Tamandua tetradactyla: one gene and its partners. The protein of the gene in region 2 interacts with the protein of the main gene of each other region in a biochemical or structural test. Links are inferred from orthologs where the notes say so. Each region holds a gene or a part of one and is shown on either strand. Other genes may lie near its edges. The genes, in order: TMEM178A, DLG1, CYSLTR2 and KCNJ4.

What was found.
Region 1: the proteins of DLG1 (region 2) and TMEM178A interact in a test that uses a peptide from one of them, tested with the Homo sapiens proteins (2 studies listed by IntAct, with this or other methods). The link is inferred for Tamandua tetradactyla from reciprocal best matches to the Homo sapiens genes DLG1 and TMEM178A.
Region 3: the proteins of DLG1 (region 2) and CYSLTR2 interact in a test that uses a peptide from one of them, tested with the Homo sapiens proteins (2 studies listed by IntAct, with this or other methods). The link is inferred for Tamandua tetradactyla from reciprocal best matches to the Homo sapiens genes DLG1 and CYSLTR2.
Region 4: the proteins of DLG1 (region 2) and KCNJ4 form a complex in vitro, tested with the Homo sapiens proteins (2 studies listed by BioGRID and IntAct, with this or other methods). The link is inferred for Tamandua tetradactyla from reciprocal best matches to the Homo sapiens genes DLG1 and KCNJ4.

The regions. Positions count from the first base shown.
Region 1 is NC_135343.1:10,996,053-11,003,593, reverse strand, and holds the start of TMEM178A (transmembrane protein 178A), read right to left. Parts: upstream 3,006-7,541; coding exon 2,606-3,005; intron 1-2,605. UniProt on the Homo sapiens protein: Acts as a negative regulator of osteoclast differentiation in basal and inflammatory conditions by regulating TNFSF11-induced Ca (2+) fluxes, thereby controlling the induction of NFATC1.
Region 2 is NC_135336.1:16,123,596-16,130,952, forward strand, and holds the start of DLG1 (disks large homolog 1), read left to right. Parts: upstream 1-4,341; 5' UTR 4,342-4,815; exon of another isoform or gene 4,816-4,844; intron 4,845-5,003; exon of another isoform or gene 5,004-5,146; intron 5,147-5,252; 5' UTR 5,253-5,283; coding exon 5,284-5,302; intron 5,303-5,967; coding exon 5,968-6,099; intron 6,100-7,357. UniProt on the Homo sapiens protein: Essential multidomain scaffolding protein required for normal development. Recruits channels, receptors and signaling molecules to discrete plasma membrane domains in polarized cells.
Region 3 is NC_135330.1:109,569,919-109,577,801, reverse strand, and holds the start of CYSLTR2 (cysteinyl leukotriene receptor 2), read left to right. Parts: upstream 1-4,868; 5' UTR 4,869-5,805; intron 5,806-7,883. UniProt on the Homo sapiens protein: Receptor for cysteinyl leukotrienes. The response is mediated via a G-protein that activates a phosphatidylinositol-calcium second messenger system.
Region 4 is NC_135333.1:30,788,871-30,795,392, reverse strand, and holds KCNJ4 (inward rectifier potassium channel 4), read left to right. Parts: upstream 1-4,651; 5' UTR 4,652-4,652; coding exon 4,653-5,969; 3' UTR 5,970-6,003; downstream 6,004-6,522. UniProt on the Homo sapiens protein: Inward rectifier potassium channels are characterized by a greater tendency to allow potassium to flow into the cell rather than out of it.

The DNA of each region.
Region 1 (7,541 bases), on a different chromosome or scaffold from region 2:
AAGGAAAATGTTAGTGGCATCTTCCTTCCTCGGATTATTCATAAAATCACAGAATTTTAAAGCTGCTAGGGGCCAACCCATTCATTTCATAGATGCTGAAACTGAGTCCCAGCAGAGGTATGTAGCTAGCCCAAGGTAGGGTTGCAGCAATGTTAAAAGCACCTGAGGCATTTTAGCCATCTCCAAAGCAACCAATTGTGATCCTCTAATGTACTGGTGTCCATCCTTTCCTCTAAACTCCTCATTTCTCAATAGCATCAGCTCATTAACTCTCCAAGAAATTAAGTTTACATGGTTATTATTACAAATATGATAGATTTTAGAACTAAAAAAATCCTAAAGAACTGTCAGCTCTCCTAGTTCTCCAGTACAAGAAACTGAAAGTCCAGGAGGCCTGGTCAACTCATTTGAAGACACACTGCCATTTAGCAGCAGCAGCAGAGCCAGCAAAGGAGCCCACGGGTCTTCTGATTACAACCTAGACCTCTTTAGAGTTCTACACAAAGAACTGGCTAAATACCATCAATATTATAAACCTGAGTTTTTTTTAATCTAAAATATGCATTTGTGACTTATACAATCTAGTTCCTTAAAATTGTATGTGAGTTCTGTCTTATGGAAGTACTGGGCTGGACAACCATCTGTCAGAAAGATGTAGAAGGGAGTTGAGCAATGGATGGGAGGTTGAATTCGATGTACCTCTAATGTACCTTCTACCTCCAAGATGACTTGATTCTGGACTGCCCAGGAGATATGCACCTCAGCTCGCCATGAAGCTCCCAGAGGTGGGGACTGTGCAGTCTCTTGTGAAGTCCCTCCCCTGCTGTTGGGTTGGTTGGAGTCTGCCCTGCTTCTTCCAGACACTACTCTATATCCAATTTACATGCAATCATACACTCTAGGCAAAGAAAGAGTGTAAGGAAATGCAGCTCTGTCATTTCCAAAGACAGACTACTCTGCTTAGCTTTCAAAATTGCCTTGCCTAAATGAGCATTCCATAACTGAGCCTCCAAATTCAGCTTTAACAGTTTGCTCATGTACTATGCTACTATCAGAATTAATTATGCAGTATCTTCTTGAGGAGAAATCAGGTTTGGATACAAGGTAGGAGAGAAAAGAAAAAGGCGCACTTCCCAAAGGAAGGTTACTGCATCCGATTCCCCTAAAAGTGCTGGAATCCTTCCATGCATAGACAGATTTTGGATGGCAGTCCCCAACTGAGCTAGCCACGGATAGAAGGAAGTTGACATGTTTGAAAAATGAAGAAATGCCAGCTAACAAGATTCCGTAGGCCAACATATTATTAACCCCTCCTTTCTATGTAATTTCACTCCAAGCTATAATTCAACACAAATCTGTTCGTTTGCTTTTAAGCTCCTGAACAACTACTGTATTAAAATGCACTGATCTGGGACTTTTTTCCTTTTTTGCAAAAATAAGTCCAAGGGAAAGGAGGCTTAATAAGTTTTTATCTCAGAGAGCAACATTTTATATTAAGGGTCAAGTTCTGAAAGTTAGAAGGAAGCCTTACACACCAGACTGCTACATTGAATATTTTTACATGCATGAGATTATAAAAGAAAATTTCAAACTATCTGCTTACTGGCATGGGAGGCAGGTGTAGGATATATTCTAGAGAGCAGATTGATACTCTACAACTCAGTGCTAAATAACAAACAAAACAAACAATAAAAGCAACCATACAAGGTATCACAGCCATAAGACAGAGTGGTTCTATAGAAACAACGTGTGGAAGTCTGGAAAGCCCTATTTTAAAGAGCTTAGGCAGGTTCTCTCCCCCCTCCCGCTGAGACGCCTAGACACCGATCGGTGCGAGGGATTTAACCAGGAAGGCTGAAAAAAAGCCGGTGTCCTATCTGCACACAGCCGCCTCAACTGACAAAGTAAGGGCACCTAAGGTCAAGTGCACACACACACACACCTTGCACCTCGGGTGTGCGCAGGAAGGCTCCTCGGGCCTTCTTAGCTCCCCAGTACACCTGACCGCCCAGCTGAGACGAATGCTGCCAACCCCGGCACGATGCAAGAGAAAAACCTTTCCCCTCTTTTGAGGTTTGCACCACTTTTCTTCCAAGGGTCATTTCTAAAAGGAAGGCATAACTTGAGCGAAGGAGCCCGGCTGGGGAAGGTTCAGTCTTTTTGATTGCTACCCTCAAGCAGCGTCAACGAAACACACACCTGCGTTCCAAGTCGGGTTACAAAGACAGCGAAGGACCCAAGGAGAGGAAGGAGAGGGGGTTGACAATCGCAGGAAAGAAGATAAGGGGGCAGGGGAGGACGGGGTTGTGCAAAGGCACGGACTTGAGGGAACGGGGAAGGAAGATGAGGAGGAGCAGATACGGGAGGAACAAGGGGGTCACGGAAAGAGAGAAGAGGGAGAGAGACCGAGAGTCGAAGGGAGGAAAGGGAAAGAAGGAAGGGAGAAGGGCAGAGAAGGCGGCGAGGAAGGATGAAAGAATGTGCCGGGAGCTGAGCGCCGAGCCGCGGCGGGGGAGGTGGCCGCAGGGACCCGCGCGCCCTCGGGGAGCCGCGGGCTGCGCTCCACGCGCTGGCGCCCAGGCTGCGGGGCGCGGCCGCCGCTCACCTTTCAGGATGAGGGTGTCGATGTCCCGGTCGATGCCCAGGAAGTAGCACTTCCTCCAGAGGCCCGAGTAGGTGGCGAAGAGCGGCCGGCCGCACTCGGCGTCCAGCCCGCCGAGCCCCAGCAGCGAGCGCCAGGACTCGGGGTCCGCGCGCCCGGGGCCGCCGGGGAGCAGCCGGCGCCCGAGCGGGGGCGCGTCCCGCAGCGGCAGGTGCGACAGCGGCATCAGGCGGTTCTTCTGGTCCGGGGGGTCGGCGCCGGCGCGGCTGCGCTCGCAGCCCTCCTTGTGGCGCCGGGGGTCGGTCTCGTACCAGTGGTCGGTGAAGATGGCCGTGACGAGCAGCCCCAGGGAGCAGAGGCTGAGGCCGAGGCTGAGCGCGGTGACCAGCGCCCGCGGCTCCATGGCTCTCCCGCGCCGCCGCCAGACACAATGCACTTGGCCTCGGCGCTCCGCCGCGCGCCCGCCCGCACCCCCCCACCCCCGGCCGCCCGCCCTCCCCCGGCCTCCCCGCGCGCCGCGCCCGGCCCCGCCGGCTCCCGCGCCCCCTGCCTCCGCCCGCCCTCCCCGCCCGGCCCCGCGTCTCCCCGCGCTGCCCCGCGCCGCGCTCACTTTCGCGCCCCCCTCGCCTGCCCCCGCCCCCTGCCGCGCCGTGCGCACCTCGGGCCCCGCCCGCGCTGCTCGCCCCTCTCCCCACCTGCAGAGCTCCCGGCCCGCCCTCCTCCCCCGCGACCCCCTGGCCGCCCTCACTCTCTCCTCTGCCTCCACTTTCCGTCAACTCTCTCTCCCCTTTGCCACTTCTTTTGTCCCTCTCTCCTGGACTCGTGACCCTTTTCTGTCTCCCCCACCTACCCGGGAGCTCACGGCCTCCTGTTCGCTTCGCTCCGATGACCTTAAAAGACATCACCCACCCTCAGCAGACTCAAGCTTGTCACTTGTTCAGTTGATTTCGGCCCGCGCCCCCTTTGGTTGGCAGGAGGCAATCCCTTCCAGGGCGGGCCGCGTGGCGCTGGACTCTTTGGGGTCTTGATCCGGGGCTAAGGACCCTTTCTCCTGCCGCCTCTGGGACCCCTGGCCGCGACCATTGCTGTCGCTGTCCCTCCCACTCGCCCAGGGCAGCCCCTCAGCATTCCTTCTGCCCAGCCCCTCTTCTGAAAGAAAAGCCTACCGAGGGTCACCGGAGCTCTACGACGGCCAGCGATTGTCTCCACTTCATTTCAGCCTCCTCTGAGATGGACTGCTCCTCCGTTGACCACCTCCCTCTGGCACCAGAGTGACGGCCTCTTTGACGGTCTAGAGGCGCTCGGGGTCAGTAAGCCTTGCAGTGGCCCTGCTCTGTGAGGTGATTATTGCCTTTGAATAAGGCAAACCTCCAGTAATAAATCAAAGTAATGATTTTCTTCTGTGCAAGTTTCTGCATGGACTGGGTGGGTAGGCCAACAAGCAAGCCATGCTTCGCACGGAAGTCAACATTTTAGCTCCATCCTGTTCGATCACAGCACTGGCAGTTCCAGCTGTGGTTTCTGCGAATGGCAGGCGGATTCACATTTGCTAAAAAGGAAATGTTAGGACCCAGGGACTGAAAGAGTTCATTGCTTGATGCTGGGTGGTCTTTATAACAGAGGTAAGATACTCTGTGCCACTCAGGTCCTTGGCACCACTGTCTGAGAATACCATGCTGGATGAAGCCAGAAATGGCAATTCTTGTGTTCTTATGCTATGGAATATTAATGACCAAGAGATTATGAGGCATTCATTAGATGCTAAATGTCATTACTCCACGATTTAATGGGACATATTAATTAGTGCCCCACACTGATTGGCATTAATGTGATTTATATATCTCCTCTTGAATGACATCTGTAAGGTGGTATAAGAATCTTGCTCGGATTTATTTTTATTGCTGTTTGTGTTCAGCATCCTCAGAGGGTATGTTACCAAAGAAGACAAATTTTCCCCCTTGTGAGCTGTCCAGTTCCCAGATAGATCACTTAGCAAATCTTTCAGTCATAGTGGACCCTGGTGCCCATTTCTGCTGACTGGACAATGTGAATTATTGCTTGGGTTTTCTCACAGCTTCAGCAAGATCTATGGTGAGGTCTAGTCTAATTAAGGAAGACAAAGAATCATAATTTCAGCGTTCCTCTCACCGATAAGCTTTTCCTTTGCAGGAAATGCTAAACTCATCAGATAAGTCTTATCTGGATTTATACAAAAATGATGAGACTTAGAAGCCTTCTTTTATTTATACTCTATAATATGTGTAAAATCCTGGATCTTTATAGATATACCCAGAGAGAATACCTTTAACCATGAGTTCACAGTTGGCATCTGACATTCACTCAACTTAGCACGTGTCCCTTTATTTTAAACTATCCTTTTGAGGTAAAGTTATTGCAAATCTTACAAGTCCAAGGAATCTTTAGCAAGTCCTCACCCCCATTTTCAAACATGGATGTACTGCAAGAAACAGATATTCAAAATTTCAGAGTCCCCTGATCATCCACATACAGTAATCCTGTCTCCACCTGAAGCTAGAAAGAAACCTCTTTTTCAGGCACTTCTGTTTTAATTTAAGAGAACATAGTATTCTGCCTCATTTTCCTAGTCAGAAGTCTTTGATCATAACCTTCTTAGAAAATAGCATTATCCTTGAAGTTCATTTATATTTGTGTTTAAAACCAGTCTCGGCATATAATCCAAAGGTTACTATATGATGGATTACTCTTGACAGTATTTCATAAAAAATGTCACATGTTACAAATATGGGCCAGCTGTGCGTAATGAGCACGCTGCCTCTGCTGGTGCAGCATGAATGCCCTCGCCAGTGATGTGCCATAAGATGTGCACACAGGCTTTGCTACAGCAACTGCACATTGCTTTCATTCATGTTTTAATTTTTTTCTACTTTTGAATATTTCCAACAATGAAATATCACCCACTCACCTGCACTAGGTAAGGGGCTTGGGAATGCAAAGATGAAAAATGGATCCCATTTTTAAGATGTTCCCAATCTAGTAGCGTGTGACAGACACCTAGACAGGCAAATTCTATAATGAAATAGGAACAGTGTGTTATAGAACTCAGATGATGAAATGACCAGCTGCATGGGCAAGTCAAGGAGACTACATAGGACAGTAACTTCTGAGTTAGTTCTCAAAGGTTGAATTAAACTTTGCCAAAAGGATATCAGCAATATTACACTGGCATTACATTCAGAATATACTTCTTTGATATGTTTCTACTGCACAAATTTGGAGGCTTCAGTATTTTGGACCACTGTAAAATGAGTATTTTTTCCTGCATTTTTAAATCATGAAGTTGACATGTTCTAATGACTACCAGCTAGCTACTTCTGATGAGCTGAAGCAGAAGTCTAAGGCAGCATACTGTGGATGAGGGAAGTTAGCCTGGCAGGGAGTCAAAACGATGTGAGATCAAATATCCAGCCAGAACACTTGGCACGTCTCAGCTTTGGCTATTCCATGATCTCAACATTTTCAAACTTTGCCTGCTTTTCGATTGTCTTAAATTTCTCTTCTATCTCCAGACCTAATATCCCCAGTGCATTCCTCAGAGAACAACAATGTCCTAAAATGACAGGAATGGAGGCAGAGAATTTCTACTTGTCTTACCTTATTATTGAACTCAACATGACCAAACTAGACTCATATATTTCCCTGTGGTCCAGCTGTCCCTCTTAGCCTGTCTCTCTCTCCCTGTCTCTCTCTCCCTCTCTGTCTTTCTCTCCATCCCTCTTTTCTTCCTTCCCTCTCTCCTCCCTCTGTCTCTCTCTTCTTTCTCCTGTTGACAAGTCACTCAAGTCTCTCAGAACCAATATTATAGAATTAACTATCTCATTCACAAACTCATTGGGATTTCTCCTTTGAAATCTCTTTTCTATCCATTCCTTTTTCTGTATTTCTATCCCTGGCTATTGCCATGCCTTTGTTATCTCACAACTGAATTACTATTACAGCTTCTTCCTTGGTCCCTCTAATTCCAGATCAGCCCTTCCTGTAGTTATCCTGGTTACTGTTGCCAAATGCATCTTCCTCAAATGTTACTTTGTATTACCCTTCAGCTTCCAACCCCCCTTTCTAGGCTAAAGAGAAGATCCACTATATTACTCGAGAGTCCTTCTTTGTTTACTGCAGAATTCCCACAGCATTTAAACATCCCAGCCGATTTGTGGGCCATGTTTAAATATTTAGAAAACAAAATGCTTTTCCCTTCTCCAGACACACCCTAATATCTAAATGCTTTATGACATCCATTTTATTTCTCTTTACATTCATGAAATTCCTTAAGTAAATATATTCCTTATAACAAGGTCCACGCACGTGCACCCACACACACACACACAAAGATTTCCAGTTATCACGAGCAATGGCAGTGATTTATTGACATACCTATACTAGACAAAAAGGACCTTCACCCTTTATGCCCAGTGCTGAGACCAAAAGCAGTGTCTACTTTATTTCAAACATTTGGATTCGTTAGAATTCAGACTGTGCAGTCTAACCAAAACCACACACGGGTTTTCATAAAGAGTGAAAATTTTTCTCAGTAATAACAGAATTTTTTTTTCTTCTGGCAATTATGTGGTTGATCTACAATATGTCATTTCTTCTGCAAATATTTGAGGTATCTTTTGTTAAAGTCATCACTCTCGATGTTTTCTCCTAAAACAATTTCATTTTAATTCAACACCATATACTGGACACCTCTAGGGTAAAAACTATTGTACTAGGTCACACTGGGTTATGCCAAGATGGATAAGACCTGGCTGTATCCTTGGAAAGCTTTAGGTTAATGGAGGAAGAAGACAAAAAGGCAAGAGGCCACCATGTGGGGTAGCAAGGATGAGTGCTGTGGCAGAGGCAGGGACAAAATGCAACAGGAGCACCTGGTACAGAGCGGTTGCTTTCCATCGTGAAG
Region 2 (7,357 bases):
ACCCAATATAAATTTTGCACCAAAGAAACATCCCTTCCTTTGGTCTCACACAGAAGCTGATGTTTTAAAATACTGACCATATCATCCTTTACCCTGTATTCTGATTTACCTTAGTCCTACCCAAATCAGCTTCATTCATATCTCTAGTTGAAGTCTGATCACTTTTATAAATGACTTCTTAAAATTCTAATAGTGCTTATTCAAAATCCAAGTTTGTGCTTTCAGCCTAAAAAAGATAATCACACTGAGGAGCCCTACCCAAATTATTCCTAGTTTTTTTTTTTATTTGTTAGCATTTATTTCATCTGTATATAAAAGCAACTTTTTAGAGTTCACAAGCTGATTTCTATAAATGCACAAATTCACAATCTTTGGAATGATAAAGATAGAACTGTTGCAGAATGTCATAAATTATGATCTTTATTATGACATTATTTTAGATTAAGATATTTTCCTTCATCTTATTCAATACTATTTTACAGGAAGACTGATAGTGCAATGAAAAAACAACTATTGATTTATGTAAGATAAATAAAGAAAACATCAAAAGCTTCTTTTAAATAAGTTCTTTTGATGACAAAGAGGTGGCCAAAACTAGCTTACCATGGTTATAAAATTATTTGTAGTAAATCAAAGTCAATATGAATAGAATGCATGATTAGCCTATGATGTTGCTGCTAACATGAATGGAAAGGTAATAGAGTTGCAGCTAAGTCTAAGAAGAACCAAGACAATTTTTCACCATGAATTCAGGTCATGCCCCACTCTATATTTAGTCATTTGAGGCCTGTTGAGAAATAAAGGATGTCACACTTCTCTTATGAATTCTTTGTTTTCCACTATTCAGGTATCTATGAAAATACTGGCAATATAAAAACATTTATAAATGTAATTGAAAGTGTAACACAGGGAAGCTACCTATTTTTTTTAAACCTGTAGAACTGGACATCATAGGTCATTATCAGCAGTGAGGAACCTCCAGTGATTATTGAAAGATTCCCAAATTTCTTAATTGGCTCTTTTTTTTTTTTTTTTACATTTTTATTGATAGAACTTAACATACTAACACACAAACATTCTTAGCATACAAACATTTCATACATGGTATACAGTCAATAGCTCACAATATCATCACATAGTGTGCATTCATCACCATGATTTTGAACATTTGCATCACTCAGAAAAAGAAAGAAAAAGAAAAAAGAAAAACTCACACAGACGATATCCCTTTCCCCTCCCTCTCATTGACCACTAGTACCAAATTGTTCTTTGAACAGATACTTTCGGTCACCGGAGGGCTGAAGAGGCTATCTCATGTAAGGAGATTTCAGCACAATTCTTAATACTTTAGTAAGGGATCCTACAACTCTGCCAATAACATGAGTTCTTCAAAAGCAGAAAGGCAAATTTGGTTACACTTAGAAATTTATCTTTAGCAAAGATTACTAAATTTTTCTCTTCTCTCTGTTTCATAGAGGAAGATTGATTCTCCCTGAAATGCCAGTAGTATTCTTCCATCATGGAAAAGTGATCATTGTCCTTTGATATTTGTGTGCTGATGCTGTTTGGGAGCTCTTCTGTTTACATTACACATCTGTCAACTCAGGGGGTGGGACTAGATGGTGGCTAAGGGCCCTTCCAGGTTGAATGTCCCATGTATCTATGAATCCTCAAAGATTCTTGTCAGGATAAAGGAAGGAGAGAAGGAAGCAGAGTGTTTTAAAAATATACCTTTACATTAAAAAACCCAACTCATTTAGACATACCATATAACAAGGGTGTGGATATTCATTTCTTTGCGTTCAAAGGCTATATATCTGTTTACATCAAAATTGCTTTCATTGTTAAAGACATTCAAATATGTGATAAATACATAACAGACTATCCCATGACTTGTGCTTTGTTATATCTTATTCTTTATACTTTCTCAGACTCTCTCTTCACCCTCTTTCTCTTTTCTTCTGTCTCTGTTTCTGCCCCCCTCACACATTTACATTGTTGTTGTTTTATTAAAAAACAAAGCAAACAATGAACTAATGATCAATCCCAGTTCTATTACCAGCAAGCCGTGGTGTCCTAGACGAGGTTATTTTCTTCTTCTTCAGTGTTCTCTTCTGCAAAGTAGGAGATCATAACCAATAAATTTATGCCATAAGATGCTGTGAAACTAAAATGAGTTAAATTTGTCCTTTGAACAATGTTTGAAGGACTATACCAGTATAAAGTATGACTTTATAAGGGCGTAAATGAGAGGCGGTTAGTATTTCTACACCCACATGGGAGCCCATTAATTTACAATATAGAAATTTGAGGATGGATCTCTCATTATAAAGCAGGAGTTCAGTACCCAACCACCAAAGGCTAGAAGTTAGCAAGAAAGAAGTGTATCATATCCTCTTTTCTCCTTTTCCTCTTCCACCACCTCTTTGTTTTTAAGGCAGGACTAGGATGACATTGACAGCTCATTTATCTATTTGCTATTAGACCGTGGATCCTTAGCAGGACTTGGAACTTAAAATTTTTCCCCATTGCCTACTAAGTGAACATATTTGAACAATGAATGGCTTTGAGGGAGAAGGGTAAATTTCCCTCCCTCTTTCTCCTGAATTCTGAAGAGATTCTATTCTTAGGCTACATTTCTTCTTATCATTACATTCACAGTTCATCAATGACGTATTGATAATAGCATGTATGCCATCATTCATTTTCACTATTTTGAAAACCCCATCTCTTTATTTAAGCTTCTTGCTTTTAGGATCCCCGTTTCACTCTTCTGTCCTATTTTCTTTATGCAATATTGCTGTTACTCAAGCTCCCATGATGCTTGATCCAGAAGAGCATAACGATCTGCTGCCAATATACCAACCTATCCAGTTGTCCAAAATCACAGTGGAAAGAGTCCTGACTGGGGCTTAAGAGACTTGAGTTCTGGGGCTGCTCTGTCACAACCCTGTATGTCTTTGGGAAAGTTGCTTTCCCTCACAATTTCTTTATTTAAAATAAGAGTGGGTCTACATGAGCTCTAAAGTCATTGGGTTTTCCTGACAAGTTAGGATTCCAAGGTGCAATCCGAAAGTAAAACCCAGTGGTCAGTATACCTGTGAACAGCTGTTACAGTTACAGTACAGAAGGTTCCCTAGACTTCCCTTAATGATCCCATGAACACAGCTTCAGTGAAAGGTTGCTAGGTTTACTTGGAAGAGTCTTTGGTTTTGAAAGACAGGCTCTCCAGGTTTCTAGTCCTGTCACCAGCTCTGGTGACCCTGAGCAAATCCTCTCTGAATCTCAGAGAAGGGAGGTTCCTGTTATCCAGAGGAAGCTCGAAGACCTCGGTAACAACTTGAAGAGTTTTTTGCGATTCCCTTTCTTCAGCTCAGGCGGTTCAGCCTTCCCTCTGTTTCCTTCTGAGGTGTGTGCGAAACTTAAACCAGCCTTGCAGGCTGAGGCTGGCTCATTCTCTGAGGAGGTGGCTACAGGTGAGCTCTTAAAGGGGCTGGCGGAGCTTGGGTAATACCTGAGACTAGCGACTGGGCAGGGAAGCTGGCATGGAGGAAGTGAGAGAGTGAGCGAATGAATGAACGCATCTTCTCTACTTACCCTTAAATGCAGTCATACTTAGATGTAAACGTCCTCTGCTAAAACTCTCAAACTTTAATCGTATTTACCGATCTCCCTGTTTTGCAGCCTCTTCTTTAATTAAAAGCCTCCAAACTCTGCGGGGCGAAGAGCAACAGAAAAAAAAACAGTACAAAGTGGAGCAGTGTAAAGGTGGCACCCCGCCCTAACTCCTCCCCCCCATTCCGCTTCTAGTTCCCTCCCTTTCCCGCCCCCTAACATGGGTGGCACAGTCTGCTCCACCCCGAATAGGGATCCATCCTGCGGGGCGCCAGGCACTCTTATGTCGTGGAGTTGGAAACAGCACGTGTTTGGTGAGGTTAAGGGGTGTCTGGGAATGTGTGCCCAGGATCAGGTGTGAAGTCACGTCTTTCTTTAACGCCCCGACCCTTTCGGGCCTGACAACGACATTAGCTCAGAAACCGCGGGGCGCACCGGTGGGCTAGGGAGAAGTAAAGGCGAGCTCTTTCAAGGCCACCTAGACCACCTGTAGAGCCTGTACGTCAACTCCCTCGTCCTTAGCACCACTTCGGAGCCCGCCCCTTTACATGAGTAAGCCCACTCGAGACGCTCTCGGCGACCCCTTCGCGCTCCGCAGCTCCCTCCCCGCTCTCCTCCCCCTCCAACCCAAAGGTAGCAGCGCTGAGAGCCCAGAGCTCGGCGCGAGCCGCCTCCTCACTTCCCATTGGCTGAGAGCGCCGGGAGAGCAGTCACGTGGGGGCGCAGCAGTCCGGCTCCGAGGCCGCCATCTTGGCGGAAAGTTTGGGGGGAGAGAGATTGGGGGCGCGGAAAGAGCCGAGTTTCCGGGGGTGGGGCGGCCGGGAGAGGTGAGGGCGTGGGGGCTAGCAGGCCGCGGCGACTGAGGACGCGGCGTCTGCGGCCGAGGAGGAGGAAGAGGCTGCGGGAGTGCGGCCGCAGGCGGGAGCTCTTATCCTGTCCCCTCACCCCCTCACCTTAGCGACTGGAGACCCGGGCGGGGCGGGGGAACGTGGAGCCGGGCAGGGCTGGGGAGCCTCCTGGAGTCCAACTAGAGCGAACCCCGGCTCCGAGCGCACACCGCTCGCAGGAACTTTGTGGCCGCGCCGCAGGTGTGGGGTACAGCGGAGGCGTGCATGTGGGGCGTGAGGACGTCGCGGAGAGCGGCAGCTGCCCCGTCCGGCCCCCACTGGAGTAGCCCAGAGGAAACGGGCAAGGAGAAAGGCAAGTGAGAGCTTGGGGGCCCCAGCGGGGCGGGGTGATCAGCCCAGCTGGTCCCTTACTGGAGCGCTCCTTGGCCGCTGCTAGCTCAGGGGCCAACAAGGGTCGGAGCGCTTCTTGACCCCAAGTAGTAGATGGGGAGGCTGGATACTTTTGCCTAGTTGGGAGTGTTAATGGCCCCACGTCTAGGCATTTAGTGCTCTTTGGAGAGGGAGAAGCTTTAGAGAAGAATTTCGAAGAATGCACTTCTTTCTGCTCTTAATATGCAGTGGTACCTAGGATTGACACCGCAGGGTTTTGAGGTTCTTCCTTTCATTTGGGAAAACTTTGCAAGGTAGGCTTCTCAGATGGGGCTGGGAGGTTTTCGATTTAAGGGAAAGTGGTGGCTTAACCACGATTACTTTCTTTCTTTTTTTCCTTTCTGTTTTGTGTTTTTAAAGGTGCGTGCCCTCTTCCTGATTCTGGAGAACAATGCCGGTCCGGAAGCAAGGTGAGAATTTATTTCTGAACTCTCTTTTGGAGTGTCACCTTTCCGTATAGCTGTTTTGTGATTGCTGTGTTTTAAAAATGTTTGTGTAAGTTTGGTGAGACAGTACCGTCCTAGCTTTACTACTTGGGAAATCTAAGCTCACATCACTTCAGGAGATGGGAACACCTAAATGTTAAACTTTCTTCCTTGATATCTCTCTAAGCCATTAGAAAGGCAATAAATCCACCCCCTTAACTCTCCACAAAAATCTGCTTGCCATTCTTACTAAACGCTGTTTTTTGAGTGATTGTGAGATACTGATTAAGTACTAGTATTTTGAAGCATTTAAGATTTGGATTATGACAAATTGTGGATAATCTGCTTTTGTAAATCAGATAATCTGAAACTGTTGGTAATATTTTGATCAGATCTTTTACTGGGGCGGGTTACCAGTACACATTTATTACAGACTGCTCATCTTCACCTTTTTCCTATTGTGGAATAACATCTGTTTAAAAATTTTCCCGTCCTTCCAGGGAATATATGTCTACATGTACATAGTAAAGATTAACCTGGAGGATTCTGGGAACAGTTTGGATGTCTTGCAGAATCATTTGTCTGCATAGCTAGTGTGTAATAATTTCTTGTAAATATACAATTTTAACCAGGCTCTTTTTTTCTCTCAGATACCCAGAGAGCATTGCACCTTTTGGAAGACTATCGCTCGAAACTAAGCCAAACTGAGGACAGACAGCTCAGAAGTTCTATAGAGCGAGTTATTAACATATTTCAGAGCAACCTCTTTCAGGCTTTAATAGGTGGGAATTAAAAGTTTATTTATGACTATGTTATGTCTTAAAGCTTCTCTGAATTCAGTTATTTGAAACCAAAGAGAATGATATACTTGATTATCTATCAGACATTCAACAACTTGAACATCTTCAATGAGTTGTATATTTTTGATACACCAGTATCCTTTCCAAAAAATCTAATAACCAAAAATATTTCAACATGATTATTTTAGAGGCCTTTGATAACAAGGTTTATCTTTATTAAATGATGGAGAATTTGCGAATGTGTTTCAGGACCCAAAAGGTAGTTAGCTTTGTTCTGTATTTGACTTACATTTCTCTGGAGTCCTTGAAAATGTTTGAAGGGTTGTGTTATATTTAAGAACATTCATTTCCTTAATGTAGACATCAGTTTAAACTTTGTATTCATAGAGTCAGAAAATGGAAAATGATCTTAAAGGTGATCTTGTCTAACGATCATTAAATAATCTCTAAACCTCATTTTACAGAGAAGAAAATTGTGACAGAGTTTTAGTAAGTGTAACTTAAATTTGAGGTAGTGCATTGTTTCAAAGGAGAACTGGCCAGTAGTCAAGGGTCTTGAGTTCTATTTCTGATGTTACCATTAACTGAATGATCTTATGCAAGTCACTTAACCTTTTCTAGGCCAAAATTAGCTGTAGAATGCAGATGGTAAAGTAGAATGTGGTTTTTAAGCCTTTTTTTTTTTTTAAAGCGGCTAGATCCTTTTTAAAAACAAAATTTTTCGTTTCTTGACCAGTCCCTGATATATAGAACAAAGTGCTCTGTCTTTGACCCTCTCTTCTAGGTATCTTGAAAAGTTTGCAAATTATTTAACTGGAGAAGATTTATCCTTTCTAATTCTAAGAATAAATTTTTTTTTAAAATAATTAGTCACTGACTAGATAACTTTTAAATAAGATATAATACATCATTGCATTACTTTTATTTTCTCCTAATTCCCAATTAGAGGTGGCTTTATATTTATCTATTGGCAGAGTAATTGTTGGTGTGATTTGAAGAACTGCTTTCAAGTCAGTGTATCCTGTCAAATAACTCATTGGTAAATAGTTGCTCTGTACTAAGTATGCTTTAGAATAAAAATGATTTTTAAGAAGACCTCAGTACACTTGAGCACTTTTTAAAATTTAGCTTTATTATAGACTTTTAAAAACATATGCAAGAAAGAGAAAACAATATAATGAGCTCCATGTACTTGTCCATCCATCTTCAGAAGTTATCAACATTTTGCCATTTTGATGGA
Region 3 (7,883 bases), on a different chromosome or scaffold from region 2:
TGACCAGCAGTTATTAACCATCTACTATGTGTAGTCTTAGCAGGCGAGGTGCTAAGACTACTTAGGAAAGTCTATGATCTAGTTGGAAAGAGGGACTAAAACAGGCATAAAAATGTCAGGCAGCTTCCTCTAAGTACCAAATAGTAAATAGTTAAGTTTGTCTACTCTTGATAGGGAAGTAGAAATTCCTTGAGAGGTTTATTTGAAATTATAGTCTCAGGAAGGCTTGCTTTCATGCAGTGTGAAATGTGTGCAACTGAGAAAGCCATGAATCAAAAAACTGCAGACTGAGAGAACTGGTAATTGTCCCCATCCCTATTCCTGCACCCCCACAATTCAAAAACTCTGACTCCATGCTACCTAGACAGAACAGTCATCACTCTCATCCTTCCCCTTGCATATAAATCCTACCCATTTTTTATTCCAACCTATTTTCAATAAATCTATGTCATAGTCTGCGTTTCCCCAAACCTTCTCCAAACCTTGCTTAGAAGGTAGTTGTGCTTTGGAGCTGTATGTATCCTAGATTAACATGTTCTTAAATTCAATCCATTTCTGTGAATGTTCATTCATTGTAAATAGGACCTTTTGATGAGGTTACTTCAGTTAAGATGTGGCTCACCTCAATCAGGATGGGTCTTAATTCGATTACTGGAGTCCTTATAAAGTGGAATGATTCAGACAAAGAGAGAGAAAGCCATGGGAAGCAAAAAGCTGAAGGTCAATGGAATTCAGAAGAGAAATGGGAGGCCAGGAGAGGCCCCATGTGCATTGCCATGTGACAGAGGAGCCAAGGGCCAAGGATCACTGGTATGAGTCCCAGAACTCCAGTCTTTGGAAAGAAAACATTGCCTAGTTTATGCCTTGATTTGGACTTCTCCTAGTCTCAAAACTGTGAACCATTAAATTCTCATGGCTTAAGCCAATCCATTGCACAGTGTTTGATTGAGCATCCAAGGAAACTAAAACAGTAATCAATGCTAATGGTGTCTAAGCTAATCCGTTTCTTTTGTGGAACTTTCACATTCTACTCAGATCATAATTTGCATGTATGTGTCTTATCCCAACAACTAGTTTTTCAGCTCCTTGCTAGTAGGCTCTGTTTGTAATTCATCTTTTTATCTACCCCTTCAAACTTCATACAATGTACTCCCTGTTGTTAGGCCCTGTGCTAAACACTTCATGTCATCAACTCAACTTTCAGAACAACTCCGCCATGTGGCGACATTATCATTATTGTCATTTCACAGTGAGCAAGAAGGCTCAGAGAATATAAGTCATTTGCACACATACACAGAGCTGGGAATCAGAGCCAGGCTGGCCCTAGGCTCAGGTCCACAGAACCTCCTAGCAGAGTATTCTGGAGTTTCTACTGGGTTCTCTCTGCTGGGGATTCTTTACCAGGGGCACCTGCTTCTCTCCCAGACCTGGTTCATGTCCCTCATTGCCTCTGGCAAGTCTTTTCTGCTACCTTTCCTTCTGGAAGAGCTGCCAGGTCATCAGTGTGGGGTGGAAGTCCACCTTCTGCTCCACAGGCAACTGGTGAACCCTAGTGGGGGCTGAAGCTAATCGAGGAAGGGACTCCTTTTTGTAATTCTAATTCTTAGAAGGCATTGCCTTATTGCAGCTTATATACATTCATCTGTAATACACACAGAGGCATCTGGGGTGTTAGCTGGGTGCTAGAACTGACCGTTTCTTTCTCCAGAGCCTTGCCTGCAGAGAGGCCTTTTGCCTCTCTCTCTCTCTTAAGTAATGAACCTCTTGAAGGTAGGACTCATGCCCAGTTGTCCTTGGATCCAGCAAGAGGACTGGTACAACTCTACTTAATGCCTATTGATAGAAGCATAGAAGGCTAATGGATAGAAGGAAGAATGAAGGAAAGGAGGAACATAGATACATTTCGTAAGGTTGACAAGATTCATTCATTCCTCTGTGCAATCAGCATAAGTTTATTGAGAAACCCACAGTATGAGCCATCTCAGAGTAGACAATGGGAAAACAAAGACACCTAAGGCATTCTGCTTCTGGCTTAAAAGGAGAAACTCATTTATTCTTTCCTACCTTTTAGTACAGAGCGGAATTACTTCAAGCTGATTCCTTTACATACCCCATGAGATTTCCTGGGGTCTCATCTTCCCAGGCTCCTAATTATTTAACATGTTCAGAACAGAGAGAGTCTTTTTATATACACGAGGGCCTTGAATTTATAAATACAAACGTGCTTGGAGTGTGGGAAATTCCACTTTAAGAACGACTTCTCGGCTCTGTGTTTCCCATCTGTTTGCTATCCTGCAGCGCTTTGCCTACCTACCTCCTTTTACCCAACCAGAACAGAACCCAGACCTGTCTCCCCAGCACAGCTCCCTTCTTTCCCCAGCCTCACCTCCTCCTTACCAGAAGGTAGTGCTAATTGTCCCCTGGGCTTCCCTCAATGTGAACCTAAAGGCTTGTCTGTGGAAAGCAAAGTGAATTGTCTGGTCTGGACAGCTCCTCCTGGCTTTGGTGCTTGGGATCTCCCTAATGACTTGAATGAAATAATGCGATTTCCTGGGCATTGTGGAATTCTGAAGTCTCCTGCTATTAAAGCTACTGCAAAGAATTCTTGAGAAACTAAATGCAAAAAGCAATTCGTGTACTTGTCTTCTTGGGCCATTAGCTTGTGTCATTTCTCTTGTGCATGCCCATTCTAAGAGGCTCCCGCTGCCTCCATGTTCGGGGCTGTTAAGATGGAGGGAAGTGTGATGCTCTAAGGAAACAGTGATGCCAGATGAATGTGAACATCATGCAGATGCTAAGCCCTGCGATGGGGAAACCCATCGTTCCTGTTCATAAAGAAACGTTTTCTAATAGGGGTAAGATGAATTTGGAGTGTCAAGGGCATTTGTGGTTTGTATTCCTAACATTTGCTAATGGTTGGAAATTGCATAGTTACTTAGCATCTTTGAAATTTAGAGGAAACTTAGCTTCTTATCATTTAGATGTCATCAAATGTATCTTGCAATGGTTGCATGAGGTATGGGTTTAGAAGTGCCAGCATGGGCCTGGCAGATGGGAGGTGCCCAGCAGCTGACTGTCATGATATTCGAAAGTGTTGGACACGAGCTCCTCATAGAGCCCCTCACAGAGCTGAGAAGCTCGTTGGAGGAGCCCATCCCTCAGGTCACGAAGGCTTTGGTATTATAGATGTCAGAGTCCAAGCAGGAACACAGAACCCATTCTGAATGTTTAAAGCAGGAAGTGTTTGCACGGATGCTGAAAGAGCTGAGAGACCAACAGGAGAAAGTGGGATGCCCAGAGACTAGCAGAACACAAGCCATGATGAGACCCAGGCTGGAGGGACAGCTGACAGAGCTGGGGCACCAGAGGAGACACAACTGTCTCTCAGAAATGTTCCCTGAAAAGCTGATGAGAAAAAAATACCTGAACTTCTTTCCTCCTTCCCTCATCATCCCACCTCTTGTCAGTTCTTTCTGACCAAATCTAGCCAGAAGCTGGGCCCATAGGGAAATCTAAGCTATGCAGCCTTTAGGGGTGAAACCCCACATGGCCCCAAAGAAAGCAGAATCGAAGTAAAGCAAGGAACATATCTCAGGACCAGCAGGCTCAGGCCTTGGGCCAGCCTGGTGGTCTTTAGAACTTCAGGGATTGAGGAATCAGAGGAAGCAGTCTGGTTCAGGGTCTTCAACTTGTGTTATATTGTTTCCAACCAATCTCCCCTCCACCTGTCCTGTCCCCCACCTCCCCCACATCTCTCTTTCTACATGTTCCTGAGGTTTGGTGCTCAAGCTGAGTCATTCTTTGTGTCTACAGATTGGAAAGGAGGAGGGGCAGCAGCCCTGCTGGGGCCATCACTTCCCTCTGTTGTTGCTACTACTGTTTAAATACCTGAGTGCATGCACAGGGAGGTTGGAGAGGGGATGGATTCTGCTTACCCATGGCTTCTGGGACAAAAAGCCTGGTGGGCTCTCCTGGGGATCCCAGGATGCTATGGCTCTGAGCCTGCCCTTGGGGTATGGCCTTAAAGGAGGTTGCTCTCTGGGACCACATCCTTTAGAGCTTAAAATTCTGGTCTCAAACTCAGACTTACACCAGTAAAATAGAACACTCTTTAGGATTAATTTTTGTAGCTCATTTGCCATTTTTCTCACGAGTCTCTCCTTCACCAGCTGTGTTAAACTTCATTTATATAAACTCCTTTCATACATTCTATTATTGAAACTAACCTAGAGCCATCCATAGCAATATATCATTCTAAATTTGGGAAAAGCATCGTGCATCAAGAGATTAAAAAAAATAATAATAACATCAAAGTAGTTTACTCCCCCAACTACGGTGCATCTCCTGATGGAATATAGTTCAATCATTAAATATTTATGCCGATATGGGAAAATGTTTGTGTTACAGTGTAAATGGGAAAAGCACAGGATGGAAACTTATGTCAGAAAAAGGAAGTAACAAATGAGCCAACAATGGCATAGAAAAATGTCAAGAAGAGAAAACACTAAAATGTTGTCTTTGGGGATGGCACTATGATTCTTATACAAAGAGACTAAGTTTACCCCTTGATCTTAGGGACTGGTCTTATCTTTAAATCATCTTCCCTTCTCTTTCCCCAGAGTCTTTTGACACTTAACATACAGGAAGCTCATGGAAGTGTCCCCAAGGCATCAAATTGCTTCCAAGGCCACACAACCAGCCATGGCTGAGGCTGGACCTGATTCTCTTGAGTCTCTATTCAGTTTTCTTCCCTGGCCACCTGCCACCTTGAGTAGGTGACACCGAGTCAGGAGTGAAGACGCCCCTCACCTGCCCAGACTGAAGGGCAGCCTTGAGGTCACAATGGACAGGACTCATGACAGCACCATTGAGGCACTGGAAGAAATCAGAAGGGAGCAATGAGGAATTACAGATCTGAAAGTAACCTGGTCCATCAGATTCCCTTCTGTATGCTGCATTTCTCTGGAACTCTAATTCTGTGGACTTTTTCCCGTGTGATACTTCCAAGTCAAATTAGATAAATTGTTGATTCATTTCTGTGCTCCCTCAGGATTATCTTCTTTTTAACATCGTTGACTCTTTGCCTATCTCCTCAAAAGCCATAACATTTTCCTTCCATCCTGGCAAATCTGATGAGATTTCATTGCTTTATATAATGTCTCAGTTGTACAAAGAAAATGCTTCTAATGGCTACATTTCAGTGAAGTTATTTCCTATGGACTGTTCTGGAAATAAAAGAAAGTCTTAAAGCGATTTTTCCTTTCCCCAATGTTCACAGATTTAGAAGTAGAAAAATAAAGAGATTTTTTCCTCAGCATCCTTTTAACACTCTTGAAACTAATGTCATGTTCTTCTGGACAACCTGATGTGCGAGAGTTAGTTATGGGGATGTGGAGTTGAATATTTTTTTCATTTTGTTTATTTTAATGAAACGGACATTAGTCTTTGGGAATTGGAGAGGAATGAAAGCCTCCTGCGACTTATTGTGAAATGAAATTTCTTTCAAGCTCTTTTGTCCAAAGATGAGATTGGTAAGGTCATATGCATACAGTATGGATTTTCAATTGGGTTAATCAACTATTAGAACCTCAGAGCAGCAGCCTTGCCCCCAGCCTCATCTCCACAGCTCCATGAAGAAGCAGCACTGGAGAACTATTCCCCTCACTTCCTGCTCTGTAATGTGAAGATGGGATCACAGCACCGCCTTTGCTGTGGTCATTGTCAGGAAGCTATGGGGCATGCATGGAATGGTTCCAAGAGCTGTCTTCTTCATCCTCACAGCAGCAGTGGACCAGAGCTTGCAAGGTAGATCTACTTTTTATTTACCCCAAATTTCAAAGTTGTTGGCACTTGTGGGAGCTACAGGTATGGCTCTTGGCAACAGGCCAGGGTGAGGAATGGGACAAGTTGCGAGCATCAGAGATTTCCAGGGTTGGAGGAGACCTCAGATGAGGGTGTTGGCAGAGTCACTGGGTCTGTAACCTTTGGGCCCATAGAGGACAAAAAGTTAGGCGAAGGGGCAGGATGGTCAGGTGTTATGGGTTGTTGGCGAGATTTTCCAGACACTACCCTGGTTCTAGGCCTAATGAGACATTAACTAGCTGTGTCCCCTTGACTATGCATCATGAAGGAACTGGAACTAGATAATTTTTAAGGATTATTCCAGTCTCAGGAAACAAATTTCAAACAAACAAAGCAAAATAAATAAATACATACATGCATACATAAACTTCCTGTTTTATTTTTGAGGAAGCATTTGCTTATTTCTTTCCTACACAAATAAACTTACTGTTTACTATTCAGTGTTCCTCCCAGGCCCTAAAATAGTGACTTTTATTTTCAGAAATAAGCAAATAGTTCAGTTTGGCTGGGGCATAGGAAGAAAGCAAAATGGCAACTAATATGAAATGTGACCAGGCCATACATGCAGACCATCTCTCAGATTTGGGCATGAGGAGCCACATGCGTGGCCCATTTTTTAGAGAAACACTTTGCTGGGCTTCCTGCAGTCCTGACCCACTGCCAGAGGTTTGGGAGTCTGGGGCTAAGAGGGGTGTCCCCTTCCCCCCAACGTCCCTTCCTATACTGTGCTCTGGATACCTGAGTCTTCCCACATCAAGCGTTCTCAAGGGCTGTGTGGCCTCTCCCTTAGGTGTCAGAGCCTAGGATTTGGATAGCTCCGAATTCTAGGGGTAGCCAAAGGTTCTATTTACAGGGGTGGCGTTCTGCATGTAAGGGTTGAAATGTCCATGTGCCTAAGTATGAGGTAGTTCATAGTGCCTAAAGGAGCCAGGGGTTGGAAGAAAATAGGCGCAGTCTGCGGGCTTTGCCAGGGGCTGAAGTCAGCGTTTCGGATGTGGTATGGTCCAGCCAGAACTCTAAGAAGTCTGAGAATTCTAGCCAAATATATTGCATGGAGTCCAATAATTTGCAGAGAAATATATCATATTATGTGAAGCAGTGATAGTGATGAGCACTATATAGCAAAGTAAAGCAAAGTAGGGGGGTAGAGTGCATGTGTGCATGTGCATGCGTGCGTGCGTGCGTGTGTGTGTGTCTGTCTGTGTAAGCTCTTTTAGGAAGGGAGGTCAGGGAAGTTCCCTCTGAGGTGGCAACATTTAAGCGGAGACCTGAATGAAGTGAGGAAATAAATGCAAAAGGGCATCTCAGCAGAGGGGCCCAGTGTAGCAGAAAGAAGCTTGCCTGGCTAGCAGGAGTGATAGATGAGTTGTATACATAGGAGGAGACCAACTGAGTCTTTGTAGACCATGATAAGGCTTCTTATTCTGAGAATGATGGGAAGTCACTGTAGGGATTTGAGCAGAGGAGCCACATAATCTGATTTTTTTCATTAAAACTTGACAGTAGAGCAGCCAGGGTGGAAACAGAAAGACAGTTGGGATGTTACTGCAGTATTCTGTTCCAAAAATGAAAAGAGTTTGAATGGAGATTGGTTCTACCATTTGCAGGTAGAACAAAAGAGATTTGTTTGATGGCATGTGGCTAGTGGGAGAAAGAGTAGTTAGGGATTGTATTAGCTAGGGTTCTCTAGAGAAACAGAATCAGCAGGAGATATCTATAAGATTTATAAAAGTGTCTCACACAACTGCAGGGAATGTAAAAAAAGATCTGTAGGGTGGGCTGTGAGCTGGCAGCTCCAATGAAGTTCCTCAGCGAACTCTCAGGAGAGGCTGGCTGGCTGAAGCAGAAAGAATGATTGCCTCTTCTGCATTCTCCTTAAAAGCCTTCCAGTGATTAGATTAAGTATCACTCATTGCAGGAGACATTCCCACAGCATCTGCAATCGGCTGTGGATGCAGCCAACATGCTTTTGATTTAAGTCCATGAAATGTCATCACAGCAACAGACAGGCCAGCGCTTGC
Region 4 (6,522 bases), on a different chromosome or scaffold from region 2:
AGCTGAGGCGGCGCCTGTCAGGGAGCTGGCACTCGCTCAGCATTTGTTCCTTAGAGCAGTTCCAGAGTGAGGAGTGATGGGTTCAGTTGGACCCAGGGCTGAGCCAGGCGACCTTGGACAAGTCAGTCACCTCCCTGGCCTCTGTTGTCCAATCCCATAACCATGAGCTCAAAGGCTCAGGCAGGGTGAAATGAGATGGACCATGGCCTGGCGGCCTGACCCCAGTGAAGTGCTCCCTGAGTGTAGGCCTCTGACTCTTCCTCCCTCCTCCCCAGGCCACAGGCCAGTCTCGGACCTCCAGGGCCCTGGTGAAATGCACCTCCTGCCCCATACTCCACCCCATACTCCGTTTTCCCTGAGCAGGGAGTGGGTGAGGGAGGGAGAGCTGCCCTTGACGCCTGCCTGGGGCACTGGGACCTGCTGCCAGTTTAAGGTCTCTTCTTGTGCCAAGGGAGTGAGCATGGAGGGTGCACTTAGTGTCATAATGTCATCAGGTGGCCTCCCCACCTTCTCTGGAGCCTGCTGGCAGGTAGGGTCTCTGGTCCCTCTACCCCTCGGGAAGGGACAGGAGCGTGATGGGGCCAGTGCCATGGGTTTCCAGGGAGGCCGTGCTGCCACCCTGGAAACCATTCAGCCACCCTGCTCTTGGCCTCAGTTTCCCTAGTTGTCAAATGAAGTAGGGCTCCCAGATTTTGTGGACAGTCACAGCACGGTAAACTTAAAAGAGAAAAAAAGTGGTCACTGGCAAAGCATCATCAATCTTTCATTTTGCCAAGAGAGTTCATTAAATCTTAAAAAGCAGCTAGCAGCTCCTCTCTCTGTCATTTCCTAAAGTAAAGACCATTTAACTCCAAAATAGAGTCTGAGAATGTAATCTTAGAGTAAAGGAGAGCAACTCCACTGTCCTTTTCATTTTGCCGTGGGCCAGCAGCCCACGCTCAGACTTTGAGGAACCCTGAGCATGAGCACACCAAACCTGCAACCCTGATAAAAGCCCCAGGAGGGAGGCTGGGCGGGGACAGAGCCTCACAGGGGCTGATGCATGAACAAAGACCAGGAAGGGGAAGTTCCTGTTCAAGGTCACACAGCAAGGCCTCCAAGCCAGGCCTCAGCCACCTTGCCTGAGCTTGCCATTATCCCTCTGACCATCATAGAAAAGGACAATTTAATTGTAGATGGCATAATACAGGCACCTAAACAACCAGGGCTTTTTTTTTTTTTTAAGTAAAAGCTTTCTGTTCAGGGGAGGGCAGTACTGAATTATTGTCGCTGCCTCACACCCCTCTTCCCTCTTCCCCCACTTGTGCCCCTTTCTCTCCTGCATGGTTCCCTCTGGCCATGCACCTGGCCGAGGAAGCCCGTGTGACAAACAAGAAGAAAACCTGACCCTCTCGAGCAGCTGTCACGCGAAAACACAGGGCCAAGCTCTGTACTTCCCACCCCTGTGGGGCGGCAGGTGAACTCCTCGTTCCTGCCAAGCAAGTCCAAGGCGACGGAGCGTTCATTGATCTGAGCCGGTCCCTGGGTGCTGGGAGGGCTCTTGCAGGCTGCGGCTCTTCTCAGGGATAGGGCTGCAACCGGCTCCTGCGCGGTGGAGGGGACAGGGCTGGGGAGTGCCGTGTGCCTAGGGGATGGGACAGGGCACCATGCAGCTTTGTGGTGCTCCGGGGTGGAGCCCAGCAGGCATTTCTGGGCGCGAGGATGTGTCTGGGGGCACCGGGAGCCCCAGCCGGCGCTGACCCAGGCAGCGCGGCCAGCACGGGGCCTGGCACACCACAGGGACTCAGCAAATGGTTGCTGTGACCTGGCGAGGAGGTGTGGGAGGTGAGGGTGCCGAACTGGTTCCCAGGGGGAAGAGATGTGGGGGCTGAGGGGGGCAGTGGGGACTTGGAGTCCAGGAGGAGTAGGGGAGGGACAAGGGTCAGGGTGGGTATTGAAGTTGGAAGTGAGTGTTGGGGTGAGGGTGGGTGTTGGGGTTGGAAGCGGGGGTGGGGGTCAGGTTGGGTCACTGGTGGGGCTGAGGATGGGGTGGGGAACCTCGGGGCCGGCCCCGGGACATGGGGCTTTAGCAAAGTCCAGTCATTTCAGCTCAATACTGGGGAACAGTAGGCAGTGCAGGTAAGGGGAGGCCCAGGGATGCCCCCTTGCCCTATGGCCATGAGGAGGGCATCTCCCTCACCCCCTCAGCCCCAGGGCCCCTGCCTAGAGGGTGGGAGCCCCATGAAGGACCCTCCCCCACACCACTAGACAAGGGCTCCCCCATAGTCCCCTGGGCTTGAATGAAACCTGTCTGGGCCTCAGTGTCCTCAGTCATTTAAGGCCCAGGCTGTCACTCTTTGTCCCCTGCCTCTCCTACGGACCTGCAAACAAGGGGTCCCGGCCCCTCTGGAGTGCCAGGCTGGGTGCTGGACTGGTGCCGTCTCTCCCCTCACCCCAAACCTCACGCCAGCCCTCCCCCCACCCCCAGGAGGGACGAGGATGAGGCTGAAGGGATATGCCCCTCCGGAGGGGGCCCGAGAGATCTGCTCTGGGTCCCTTCTCTGGCCGCGGCCCCCCTGGGCTTTGCTGGCCTCAGACATCAGGCGGGGTTGTGGCCTGAGTGGTCTCAGGCTCCCCTGGCCCTGACGGTCTGCAGTGCCAAGGGAGGCGTCAGAGCAGTGGGACAGAGCAGAGCGGGAAATCTTTAGGGAAGGAAGCCAGTCCTGAAACTATTTATACCACAGGAGGTTTCCCGGCCCCAACCCCCTCACAGGACTCTGGGCCTCTCTCTGGGGAGGTGACGGGAGGTTCCTGTGGCCTCCTGGTGAAGGTCGTGACCTCCAAGAGCCATGGGACCTGTCAAGTCTGCAGAACAGCAGTTCTCTCCGGTCCCATCTTCCAGATGAGGAAACTGAGGGTCAGAGAGTCAAGCAACTAGTCCAGGTCACACGTGGGTCCAGGATTGAGCCCAGACCCGGGGTGGGGCTCCTTCAAAGGGGAAAGGGAAAAGAACCCGGCGGGAGGGTGGGGGCAGGGCTCACTCCCCCCCCAGGCGGGAGAGGGAGATTCTCCGGGAAGAGGCAGGCTCTGAAGCTGTTGATCTCTAAATTACAGCGTTGGCGCGCACCGGTTGCTGCGGCAACTGAGTTGTCCTGAACGGGGAAGTGTATAAACATTGCCACAGATGCACAATTAGATCAGGAAGAAGAATAGGACAGAAAATAGAAACTTCCAGCCTTATATAATTCTGGGCCAAAATGCTACTTGGAGCCCAGGCCCGGGCCCGACCCTGCCAGCCGCTGGGGCCCGGGGCAGCGCCATCTCTCTCCCAGGGCCCGGTGGAAAGGCGGCAGGGAGGGCGGATGGTCTAACCCTCCATGGGCACAGCTGGTGCGCCTGCCGCGGTGCGCCTGCCGCAGCCCGCAGCCGGGCGGGTGAGGGGCCGCCTCCGCCTAAACAGCTGGGGACACTGACAGGCGAATCATGCCTGTCGCCTGCCCCCTCCCGCTCCCTCCCGGGCTGCAGGAAGGAAGGCAGGAGGGCGACTGGCTATCACCAAGCTCCCACTGTTGCCTTTTAGGTCCTGGGAGGTGGGGATTCTGATTCCCATTTTACAGATTTGGAAACTGATGCTGGGAGTGGTGCAATGAATGGCTTGAAGTTACACAACTGGGCGGTGGGTGTGTCTGCTTCCCCCACTCCCTGTCTCTCCACATTGCAAACCTGGAGAGTTAGACCCACCTGGGTTTAGATCTTTAACTTGCCAGCTGTGTGTCCTCGGGTGTGTCACTTTCCCTCCATAAGCGCGTGGTTTTCCACCTGCCACATGGGAATAGCAATGCCTCCTGCACAGGAACCAAGTCCCTCCCCTTCCACTGCCTCAACCCCCACCGTTGTCCTCTCCACCCATTACTCCTCCTGACCAGGTTGGAAAAGTGACAGGAATCTGGGGCTCTTGGGCTCAAAGCAACACGGGAGGGAAGGATCCAAGTGTGGCAGGTCCCAGCACTGTCTGGTAAGGCAGCACCAGCCACTGGTAGCTCCGGAGCATTTACATGTGGCTGGTGCAACTGGGGACCTGAAGGGTAAACTTTATTCGGTTCAGTTCAAATGTGAAGAGCCACAGGTGGCTTCTGGCTACCACGCTGGGTGGCGCAGGAGATTGTGAAGCCTCTGAGAGCTCCAAGAGGACAGAGGCTGAAGTCAAGTGGGAGCCAGTGCGTCCCGGGCTCCCTGTGCTGAGGCCAAGCAAGGCAGAAGGGTAGGAATGGGGCCAGTGGGCATCAGGAAGCTCCTGGAACAGCCGGCGTGGGAGGGCTGGAGCAGGCAGCAGGGAGGGGCTGGCACTGAGCCCAAGACCCCAGAGTCTTGGCTTCCTGGTCCAGGGGACCCCAATCCTGGAGTTGGGCCAGCCCCAGGGGCACTTTTCCCATCCCCAGAGCCACCCTGAACTGTCACATGCTGCCTGCTTGGGCAGAGGAAGTCCAGGTTCTAGTCCAAGCCCCTCCTCTTCTGAGTGTCTCTGTCGCCCCCCCCACCCCCAGCCTCAGTTTCCCTGGGTCTCTGGGAGAGAGCACCCTCCCCGGCAGCCCCTGGCTCTGCAGCCTCTCATGCGTCTGGCTTCTCCTCCCCAGGCCCTGCATCTCCCCAGGTGACCACGCCGGCCTCAGGACATGCACGGGCACAGCCGCAACGGGCAGGCCCACGTGCCCCGGCGGAAACGCCGCAACCGCTTCGTCAAGAAGAACGGCCAATGCAACGTCTACTTCGCCAACCTGAGCAACAAGTCGCAGCGCTACATGGCGGACATCTTCACCACCTGCGTGGACACGCGCTGGCGCTACATGCTCATGATCTTCTCGGCGGCCTTCCTGGTCTCCTGGCTCTTCTTCGGCCTCCTCTTCTGGTGCATCGCCTTCTTCCACGGTGACCTGGAGGCCGGCCCGGCGGTGGCCGCGGCAGGGGGGGCGGCCACGGCGGCCCCGAAGCCCTGCATCATGCACGTGAACGGCTTCCTGGGCGCCTTCCTGTTCTCGGTGGAGACGCAGACGACCATCGGCTACGGCTTCCGGTGCGTGACGGAGGAGTGCCCGCTGGCGGTCATCGCCGTGGTGGTCCAGTCCATCGTGGGCTGCGTCATCGACTCCTTCATGATCGGCACCATCATGGCCAAGATGGCGCGGCCCAAGAAGCGGGCGCAGACGCTGCTGTTCAGCCACCACGCGGTGATCTCGGTGCGCGACGGCAAGCTCTGCCTGATGTGGCGCGTGGGCAACCTGCGCAAGAGCCACATCGTGGAGGCCCACGTGCGGGCGCAGCTCATCAAGCCCTACATGACCCAGGAGGGCGAGTACCTGCCGCTGGACCAGCGGGACCTCAACGTGGGCTATGACATCGGCTTGGACCGCATCTTCCTGGTGTCGCCCATCATCATCGTCCACGAGATCGATGAGGACAGCCCGCTGTACGGCATGGGCAAGGAGGAGCTGGAGTCGGAGGACTTCGAGATCGTGGTCATCCTCGAGGGCATGGTGGAGGCCACGGCCATGACCACCCAGGCCCGCAGCTCCTACCTGGCCAGCGAGATCCTGTGGGGCCACCGCTTTGAGCCCGTGGTCTTCGAGGAGAAGAGCCACTACAAGGTGGACTACTCCCGCTTCCACAAGACGTACGAGGTGGCCGGCACGCCCTGCTGCTCCGCCCGGGAGCTGCAGGAGAGCAAGATCACGGTGCTGCCCGCCCCGCCGCCCCCGCCCAGTGCCTTCTGCTACGAGAACGAGCTGGCCCTCATGAGCCAGGAGGAGGAGGAGATGGAGGAGGAGGCCGCGGCCGCCGCCGCCGTGGCCGCGGGCCTGGGCCTGGAGGCGGGCTCCAAGGAGGAGGCGGGCATCATCCGCATGCTGGAGTTTGGCAGCCACCTGGACCTGGAGCGCATGCAGGCCACCCTGCCCCTGGACAACATCTCCTACCGCAGGGAGTCGGCCATCTGACCTCCGGCCCCGCCCGCCGCGCTCCCCACGAGCGACTGTGCCCGGGGCGGGGATGGGGTGGGGGTGGGGTGGGGAGGCACCCCCTCCCACACGCAGGACAGCGCTGGCCCTGGCTCCGTGGGCCTCCTGGAGGGAGGTGGGGGCTCCCAGGACTGGGGAGCCCCTTCCTGCTGACCCCAGAGCCCTGGCCTGGCCCAGAGCCGGGACGCCTGGTTCCCCAGCCCTTACCCACATGTGGCGCCGGGCCCCCCAGAGCCACCACCCTTTCCCCACTGACCCTTTTGAGGACCTCCCCCCCCACCCCCTGTTGCTCTCAGAACCTTGCGGAAGGCGAGTGGACCGCTGGGGTGGGGGTGGGTGGGCAGAGGGTTCGTTTGGGGGGAGGGGGGAAGAGGGGTGCGTTTCTTTTGCATGACTGTCGCCTGTTGCTCATGTCTTTCTTTTGTAAATACCTATAAATGGAGAGAGATGGAGGCACCAAACCCGCCATTTTTACCTGCAGGACAAGGAGATGTGGCCCCTCCCCGTGCACCGCCACCCCACCCGTCCAGCC